2 linked regions of the Caenorhabditis elegans genome follow. The protein of the gene in region 1 purifies or fractionates together with the protein of each later gene. This does not show direct contact. Each region holds a gene or a part of one and is shown in the gene's direction. Other genes may lie near its edges. The genes, in order: fib-1 and nol-56.

Evidence for each region.
Region 2: the proteins of fib-1 (region 1) and nol-56 purify together in Caenorhabditis elegans (affinity purification with mass spectrometry; 2 studies listed by BioGRID, with this or other methods). This does not show direct contact.

The regions. Positions count from the first base shown.
Region 1 is NC_003283.11:15,000,074-15,003,887, reverse strand, and holds fib-1 (rRNA 2'-O-methyltransferase fibrillarin), read left to right. Parts: upstream 1-1,778; 5' UTR 1,779-1,862; intron 1,863-1,918; 5' UTR 1,919-1,919; coding exon 1,920-1,959; intron 1,960-2,007; coding exon 2,008-2,191; intron 2,192-2,238; coding exon 2,239-2,789; intron 2,790-2,836; coding exon 2,837-3,120; 3' UTR 3,121-3,235; downstream 3,236-3,814. Other genes in the region: mut-15 (MUTator), read right to left, coding at 1-31, 80-555, 598-766, 814-886, 934-979, 1,022-1,089, 1,139-1,175; rps-16 (Small ribosomal subunit protein uS9), read left to right, coding at 3,351-3,500, 3,545-3,814. UniProt on the Caenorhabditis elegans protein: S-adenosyl-L-methionine-dependent methyltransferase that has the ability to methylate both RNAs and proteins. Involved in pre-rRNA processing.
Region 2 is NC_003283.11:10,349,773-10,354,897, reverse strand, and holds nol-56 (Nucleolar protein 56), read left to right. Parts: upstream 1-1,919; 5' UTR 1,920-1,930; coding exon 1,931-2,029; intron 2,030-2,061; exon of another isoform or gene 2,062-2,188; intron 2,189-2,214; coding exon 2,215-2,329; intron 2,330-2,379; coding exon 2,380-2,534; intron 2,535-2,615; coding exon 2,616-2,723; intron 2,724-2,768; coding exon 2,769-3,003; intron 3,004-3,035; exon of another isoform or gene 3,036-3,165; intron 3,166-3,182; coding exon 3,183-3,515; intron 3,516-3,544; exon of another isoform or gene 3,545-3,680; intron 3,681-3,684; coding exon 3,685-3,959; intron 3,960-3,985; exon of another isoform or gene 3,986-4,118; intron 4,119-4,139; coding exon 4,140-4,280; 3' UTR 4,281-4,427; downstream 4,428-5,125. Other genes in the region: sluh-7 (Pre-mRNA-splicing factor SLU7), read left to right, coding at 1-988, 1,074-1,223; nssp-62 (Neuropeptide-Like Protein), read left to right, coding at 4,776-4,832. UniProt on the Caenorhabditis elegans protein: Required for 60S ribosomal subunit synthesis.

The DNA.
Region 1 (3,814 bases):
GCATTCGATATTGGAAAATACATCACGAACTCTGGAAACATTCTAAGAATAGCACAAATTTTGCGAATATTGCTCGAACCTCGGATTATCAGCTTCAATGAGCACAGGTCTTTCCATTTTACCTTTGCAAAACTCGAGTGTTTCGGTTAACGAGGCAACTGAACTTGAGAAATGATACGCGAAGATGAATCGTGTCAAAGAACTTTCAAAAGTTTGAGCGAGACGTCCGAGTGAGTCGGCAAACTCACTGTTCCCCTTCAACTTCTCGGCATTATTAATGATAACAAAACGTAGAACAGATATAAAATCATCCAACTGTTCCATTTCATTCTTCAGCTTATCGATATACTCTTTGATTTTTTTGAATGAACCAATGAAAACTCTAGATCTATTCGATGTCATGAATTCATTTGACAGCTCAGTTGTGTCTAGATTTGTTATATGTGTATTTGGACGAGTGGAATTAGAACTTCTTCTCTTGTTGAGTAGGCCTCTCATTACAGATTTCGAGCGTTTACCGTCTGTAGTTATAATAATGCATCGCGGAAACGGTTTCTGAAATTAGAATCAGTTATCACTTCCACTAGCTTGGCTAACCCTATGCGAACGAAATCTGTCGATGGAGTGCAAGATGGGTTGTCCGTAGTAAAACTCGTGATTTGGGCCTGAATGAATGCAAAACAAATGTTCGCCGTTGTGAAAACGCCCGAGACTGCAATATAAAGCATCTTGCAATGTTCTCCATGGACTGTAGCCTCGGCGGCCACTGAAAATATGAATGTATTTTCAGAATTAACGACGGGATCGAATGACCTGATTGAAAACTTCATCAGCTTCCTCGTTATTTGCAGCGACCCGGTTTCAGACGATCTCACATACGCTACTTCTTCAAAGTATTAATTTCGATGGTATCTTTAGTATGATATTTCAAACCTTCTCTTGAAGCTGCCGGTCCCCACTCTGGGTTATGCGCTCGAGCCTGGAAAACATGAAATAATTGCAGTCATTCATTAATCTCAACTTCTTTGACCGAAAAACATGATCTCCTTGCATTGCCCAATCCATCAAGATCAAAAGCATTCACGACACCTGAAATGAATAAAATAAATATCCCATTTAGCTCATCAAAAATTGTCACCCATGCTACATATGCCGATTCCATTGGAGTTATCCATTTCTTTGATACTTATCTAAATACTTCCATTCAAATCCTGTTATTTAAACCCGTGCGCGATATCTGAACAACTCCGGAGTGTTTTTCAATGCTCGACTCGCTCCAGCAATCGATAAACAGAATGGGAATCGGTTTCGCTGCGTTCAAAACATCGGCCGGAATATTCTGGTTTCTGAGACAACGAAACGTGAAACATCTATCAAGTTTTCAACCTTTTTTCGAAGCCATGATTAGTATCATAATTTAAAACCTGTTTTTTTGCTTGACGTTTTTGCATATTTCAATCAAAACCACCTTTCATATCGCTTTGATTTTCAATTTTAGAACAAAGCCCCGCCTACAATTGCCTGATTTCGTTCTACGCGAGCTGTTTGCTTGCGAATCGATAAAGTGTCGGTTGTGTGGCAAGTGCGCTCCACTGTGCAGGTCTCGCAGCGATTGCCATTTTCCACCGTAGTTCCCTCCAATGTCTTCTCCATTTTCGTAATTTTTTGGTTCGCCCAAATTTTTTTTCGTCATTTTTTGCCTGAAATGTTCGTTTCTTCTCAATTTTTCTTGGATTTTAAGAGTAGATTTGAGAATAGTGGATGATTCTAGTCGATTCAGATCGACTGGAGCGTGATTTAAATCCATGACTCTAAGTGAAATGGGATAATTCTCAATCTTACTCGGCTCTCCCACGGCTGAGGTATGTATTTTTCGTAATTTCGCTTTTCGTTTTTGTTAAATAATCGATTTTTGTAGTATGGGACGTCCAGAGTTCAATCGTGGCGGCGGCGGCGGAGGTAAACTGAATTTCAGGATTTTTTCGTATTATAAATATTATTTTTCAGGTTTCCGAGGTGGACGCGGTGGAGACCGTGGTGGTAGCAGAGGTGGATTTGGAGGCGGTGGTCGTGGAGGATATGGCGGAGGTGATCGTGGCAGTTTCGGTGGAGGTGATCGCGGAGGCTTCAGAGGAGGACGCGGAGGTGGAGACCGCGGTGGTTTCCGTGGAGGAAGAGGCGGTGGTGATCGGTTTGTGTTTTATAATTCTGTTCGCCATCAAAACGATAATTTTTCAGAGGTGGTTTTGGTGGCCGTGGATCACCAAGAGGAGGATTCGGAGGACGTGGATCTCCAAGAGGCGGAAGAGGATCACCACGTGGTGGACGCGGAGGAGCCGGTGGAATGCGAGGAGGAAAGACTGTCGTTGTCGAACCACATCGTCTCGGTGGAGTATTCATCGTGAAAGGAAAGGAAGATGCTCTTGCCACAAAGAACATGGTTGTGGGAGAGTCCGTGTACGGAGAGAAGAGAGTGTCCGTCGATGACGGAGCTGGCTCAATCGAGTACCGTGTGTGGAATCCATTCCGTTCTAAGCTCGCTGCTTCCATCATGGGAGGATTGGAGAACACTCACATCAAGCCAGGAACCAAACTTCTCTATCTCGGAGCTGCTTCTGGAACTACTGTTTCCCATTGTTCTGACGTCGTTGGACCAGAAGGAATCGTTTATGCTGTTGAGTTCTCTCACAGATCTGGACGTGACCTTTTGGGAGTTGCCAAGAAGAGACCAAACGTTGTCCCAATTGTCGAAGATGCCAGACATCCACACAAGTACCGCATGCTTGTCGGTAAGTATTAAATTTAAGCATTTTTGTGTTTAATATTTATATTACAGGAATGGTCGATGTCATCTTTTCTGATGTTGCTCAGCCAGATCAAGCTCGTATTGTTGCTCTCAATGCCCAAAACTTCCTTCGCAACGGTGGACATGCCGTCATCTCTATCAAAGCTAATTGCATTGACAGTACTGCTGAGCCCGAGGCTGTATTTGCTGGTGAAGTCAACAAGCTGAAGGAGGAGAAGTTCAAGCCACTTGAGCAGGTAACCCTGGAGCCGTATGAGAGAGACCACGCTGTCGTGGTTGCTGTCTACCGCCCAGTCAAGGGAAAGAAGGTCTGATCTCCAAAATCATCGTTACATTTTTTTGTTTTGTTATTTTGTTACATGTATACCTCCATCTTGATCGTTAACACTTGTTTTACTTGTTTCCCAATAAAATGTTGTTGATGCTGTCATGTTAGGGATGTTTTACTTTTATCTTTACTTGGTTCTCAACCTTGCCGATATTTCTATTCTACTTTAATTGTAACCTTTATTTTGTTCTTTGTTTAATATATTATTACAGGGTAATGACGTCTACCGTGCAATCGGTTCAGACCTTCGGGCGCAAGAAGACTGCCACCGCTGTCGCTCACTGCAAAAAGGGACAAGGACTTATCAAGGTCAACGGTCGCCCACTTGAGTTCTTGGAGCCACAGATCCTGCGCATCAAGCTTCAGGTTTTTGTTCCGACATTAAATTCCAACTAACTTGTATTTTTCAGGAGCCACTTCTCCTCGTCGGAAAGGAACGCTTCCAGGATGTCGACATCAGAATCCGTGTTAGCGGTGGAGGACACGTTGCCCAGATCTACGCTGTCCGTCAAGCCCTTGCCAAGGCTCTCGTTGCCTACTACCACAAGTACGTTGACGAGCAGAGCAAGAGAGAATTGAAGAACATCTTCGCCGCTTACGACAAGTCCCTTTTGGTTGCTGACCCAAGACGCCGTGAGTCCAAGAAGTTCGGTGGACCAGGAGCCCGCGCTCGCTACCAG
Region 2 (5,125 bases), 4.7 Mb from region 1:
AAATCCATTTGCTGGTGTTGCTGGAAAAGAATTAGAAGCAGCTCGTTTTTCTGGAGATAATTTTGTTCGATATTCTGGTGAAGTAACAGCAGCAAACGAAGCCCAAGTTTTTGCATGGCAAGCCACTCGTGGTGGAGTATATGCTCACTCGATTGCTGAACCTACAAAGTTAGAAGCACTGAAAAAAGAGTATGAGAAGGAAAAATCAACTCTGAAAAACGAAACACAGAAAGAGTTATTAGACAAATACGGAGGAGGTGAGCACATGGAAAGGCCTGCGGATGAGTTGCTACTGGCACAAACTGAGAGTTATATCGAATACAATCGGAAAGGAAAAGTTATCAAGGGAAAGGAAAAAGTAGCAATTAGCTCTCGCTTCAAAGAAGATATATATCCCCAAAATCATACATCAGTGTTCGGAAGTTTCTGGAGAGAGGGTCGGTGGGGATATAAGTGCTGTCATCAATTCGTCAAGAACTCATATTGTACGGGAAAGCAGGGAATTGAAGCTGAAACGAGCGCAGCAAAAGGTACAACGACCTCAAACGAAGAAATTTTCAAAGTTCCGAAGTTAGTAGAGAAGACTGAAGTTAAAGAAGAAAAAGAGAAGGAAGATTCCATCAAGGATGAAGTAGCAGAAGAAAACAGTGATAATGATAATGACGAAGAAAAGGAAAAAGTATCAGAGAAGTCCATATCACCATCACCACCAAGTGACGATGAAGAAAAAGAAAAAGAACGCGAGAAGGAAAGGTTAATTGAAAAAGAACGAAGAGAACGGGACCAGCGGCGTCGTGATAAAAAACGTGAAAAGCGTGAACGCAAGAAGGCAAAGCTGGGGAAAAGAAAGAGGCGTCATCGCGATTCGGACGATGAAAGCGATCCTTCGTCGGGAAGTGGTTCAGAATCTGATTCTGATGAAGAAATGCGTAAAGCTATGAAGAAGGCGAAACGGGAAAAGGCCGAAGGAATGAAAGCTGCAAGAGAGGTAAGATTACCAATACTAATTTTATCCGGGTCGCTTAGTACTATTATATTCCTTGAAAATTCAAAATATAAAATACTTTGTTCAGGGTGATCGCGGCCGTAAATACAACACTGACTACTCCAACACTGCACCGAACGAAAAAGAAATGGAGGCTTATCGTGTGACAAGTGTTCATTCTGCTGATCCGATGGCAGCCTACATGAATTCCAAATTTGAGAAGAAACACACCAAGTAATTATTTGAAGTCGTCTCCGTAGTTTTTTCTCTTTATTGTTGTTTGTTGAAACATTTGTATTCAGTCTATTCAATAAATTATTCAATTCATGATCACCATTATTTTTTTAATTCCGATTTTACAAAATGCCCTTATTCAATAATTCATTTTCGAACGTCTGCGCCCAACTTCGTGTTAAATAATTTTTAAATACGTGCTTCAGTATATTCGTTCATTCAAAAACCTCCACGTCATGTTTTCTTGATCTGGATTTATTTACATTCTGAAAATAAATTCTAAGCACATCGATTCTGGTGAACGGCTAGAAAAATTTCGATTTTTCCCGATAATATTTCGTTCGTCTTTTTTCATTTCTATAGAAATTTCTAATAAAACGTTTTACTGGCGTAATTTTCTCCACTGCCATTATTTTGTCCGAGTGGAGTTCACGAGTAGTAAAGGCACACACTCTTTTGCGAATAGGTCTCGCAGCGAAAGAGGTACGCCGTCGTCTTTTTGATTCGTCCTTATTTTTTCTCCGGCCTATTTTTGATACTTATCGATCCAATTTCGGTTTTTATTTATTTATTTATTACTGGAATGATAAGGAAAGATGTATTTATAAACAATTACATTAATGTTCTATCAATTCTTCTTTACTTAAAGTCTCACAGTTTTTGCACCCTTTTTGGTTTTCTTGAATAAATGATTTTTCAGGTTCTTACACCATGTCGGAAGTTCCCCACTTCGTGCTCTATGAGCATGCAGCTGGATACGCTCTCATGAAGATTAAGGAGTTTGATGATGCTGGTCTTATCCTCCAAGAGGTACGTTCGCTCGAAAAAAGTATTTTTAAAATATCCTCGCTTATAAGCCGGGGGACTAGCCTTTGCTGAGTTCACTAGTAAAACGCGAGGAAAATTATAGAGACATCCAGACACCGATTATGTTGTGATATATTCGGTCACTTCGTATGTCCCACAGTTTAGTGCTTAAATTAACGCATTTTCAGGTCGATGCCGCTCATGCTGATGGATACAAGTTCTCGCAAATCGTTGAGCTTGCTTCGTTTGATCCGTTCAAAAACACCGAAGCTGCATTGGAAAACTGCAACTCCATCTCTGAAGGTAACAAAGACCGATAAGTTTTGATGGGGAGTAATTATTTTAATTATTAGGTCTCGCCCACCCTGATCTCACTAATTTTCTTCAAAAGTCGCTTCCAAAAAAGAAAAAACACGTTGTGCTTGGAATCAATGACTCGAAGCTTGCGGGTTCGCTTACTGAAGCGTTCCCAGATCTGAAGCTTGTCTTCGGAGGTGTTATCACCGAGGTAACGTGAAGATTCACAATAAACTCTTTGGAGTTTACCTGAATCTGTTACCGATGACGAAAACACATATTTTGAGTTTAGATTCTGCGTGGTACTCGTGTTCATTTCGAGCGTTTGGCCAAAAATCTCCCACATCACTCCTTATCGAAAGCTCAGCTTTCTCTCGGTCATAGTTACTCTCGTTCGAAGGTGCGTACCTCGATCGCGCTTTTTTCTCTAAATGTTTTTTGATAGGTCAAATTCGATGTGCATCGTGTGGACAACATGGTTATTCAATCGATTGCCCTTCTCGATCAGTTGGACAAGGATATCAATCTTTTTGGAATGAGAATCCGTGAATGGTACTCTTACCATTATCCAGAGCTCTTCCGTCTGGCTCCAGATCAATACAAGTACTCTCGCCTTGCTGTCGCTATCTTGGACAGAAACAAGATGGCTGAAAATGAGAACCTCGAGAATGAGATTCTTGGTAAGTATTATAGTTCAAAATGTAGATTTTGGGTAACCTCTCTTATAAGCCGGGGGACTAGCATTTTGTTAAGTTCACTAGTAAAATGAGAGGTAAAGCATAGAGACAACCAGACACCGAGAATGTTTTGATGTTTTCGGTCACTTTGTGTGTCCCACAAATATTCTTTCCTTTTTCAGAAATTCTTGACAATGATTCCGAGAAAACCGCTCAGATCATCGAAGCGGCCAGAACATCAATGGGAATGGATATTTCCGATCTCGATCTTGAGAACATCAAGAGATTCGCCGCTCGTGTCTCTTCTCTCATGGAGTATAGACAACAACTTCACGAGTACATTAAAGATCGTATGGACCACTGTGCTCCTTCTCTCAGTGCTCTTATCGGAGAACAAGTTGGTGCTCGCTTGATCTCGCATGCTGGTTCGCTGACCAACTTGGCCAAGTATCCAGCGTCCACTGTCCAAATCCTCGGAGCAGAGAAGGCTCTTTTCCGTGCCTTGAAGACCAGATGTAAGTCATGAAAAATGTATCATTAATTGATGGCATGTATTTAATGCGGGTGGATGATTTTAGTTCAGCCGTTTAGCTTGCATGCAAAATTATTTTCTATTGAAGATTTTATTCGCTGCACTCGGTCATATTCGAGTCTATGATTTTTCTGAAATTGGTACATTTTCAGCCAACACTCCAAAGTATGGACTTCTCTTCCACTCCAGCTTCATTGGAAAAGCTGGAACCAAGAACAAGGGTCGTGTGTCCAGATATCTTGCTAACAAGTGCTCCATTGCTGCTCGTGTGGATTGCTTCTCCGAGACTCCAGTTTCGACATATGGAGAATTCCTTCGCCAACAGGTTGAGGATAGACTTGAGTATTTCACCTCCGGAACTGTTCCAAAGAAAAACATTGACGTCATGAAGGAGGCCGAGGAAGCTGCCGTTGAGGTTAAGGAGAAGGTACAGTTTTGCGCAAATTTCCTATTTAGCATGTATTTAATGCGGGCAAATTGTTTTAATTCGGCCGTTTAGCTTGCATGCGATATAATTATCCATTGAAGAATTTTTAGCTGGGTTTCTCTCATTTTAAACTCATGATCTATCTTTTAAGGAAACAATCAATTAAAAATTGTATTTCAGGTCATCAAAAAGAAGAAGAAGGCTGCCAAGAAAGCCAAGCGTCTTGCTGAAGAGTCTGTCACTGCAACTGCTGAAGCTGAGGTTGACGAGGATGCTCCAAAGCCAAAGAAGAAGAAGAAGAGCAAGGCTGGAGACGAGTAATCTTCATCATCACTACACCACTGATCTTTTTTGTTTTATGAATGTAACTCCCCCATGTTGAACTATTTTGTTTTTGTTGACTGTTGGACCCCTACATCTTGTTGTTACTCTGTTTTCTTCTTAATGAATAAACTTGTATAATCCAGCGTAAATGTTTTAGAATTGACTTCACATATAAACTTCAGTGCGAGTAATGTTCGAAAGTGCTCTGTTCACTACACTACGCGAAGCCGTGTATTAAGAATGAGAGGGCGGCGTCAAAATCTCGAGAAGGGCGGGGCCAAGAGAGCAAGACTGGAGCTTAGAAAATGCACAACACGTCAGTTGAGACTCAGTCAGTCTCATAATAGGTCGGGAAAACAACCCTTTTCGTTCTTTTAGAGAGTAAATAATAATTTCATTAGTCGCCTTTATTGATACTGTCTTATTTTCAGATCTGTTTTCAAAATAATTATTAATTTCCAGTATTCTCTTTCTTTGGTCTTCCTACACAAAATGAATTGCCGGCTTTTTGTCATTTTCGTCTCAATTCTCGTTACGGTTTTTGCACAGGTACAGGTTTTATTCATTAAAAAAAGAATGGAGAAGAACTTTAATTATAAAAAGCTAAACTTATTTTAACTTTGTTTTTGCAAAAAAGCTCAGAATATAGTACTACTTTTGAAGAAAAAATCTCTAGAAGCCAAAAGTTTTTGATTGGAAGCGTTATTTTTTGGTAACTCTTGCCATTTGTGCAATTTGGAATGTAGAAATTCATATGCTTCAGTCTTGAATGGAAAACTTGATAAACTTTCGGTAGATAAAAAATTATGGAGATCGTGTCGAGAACCACCGAAAGAATGCAC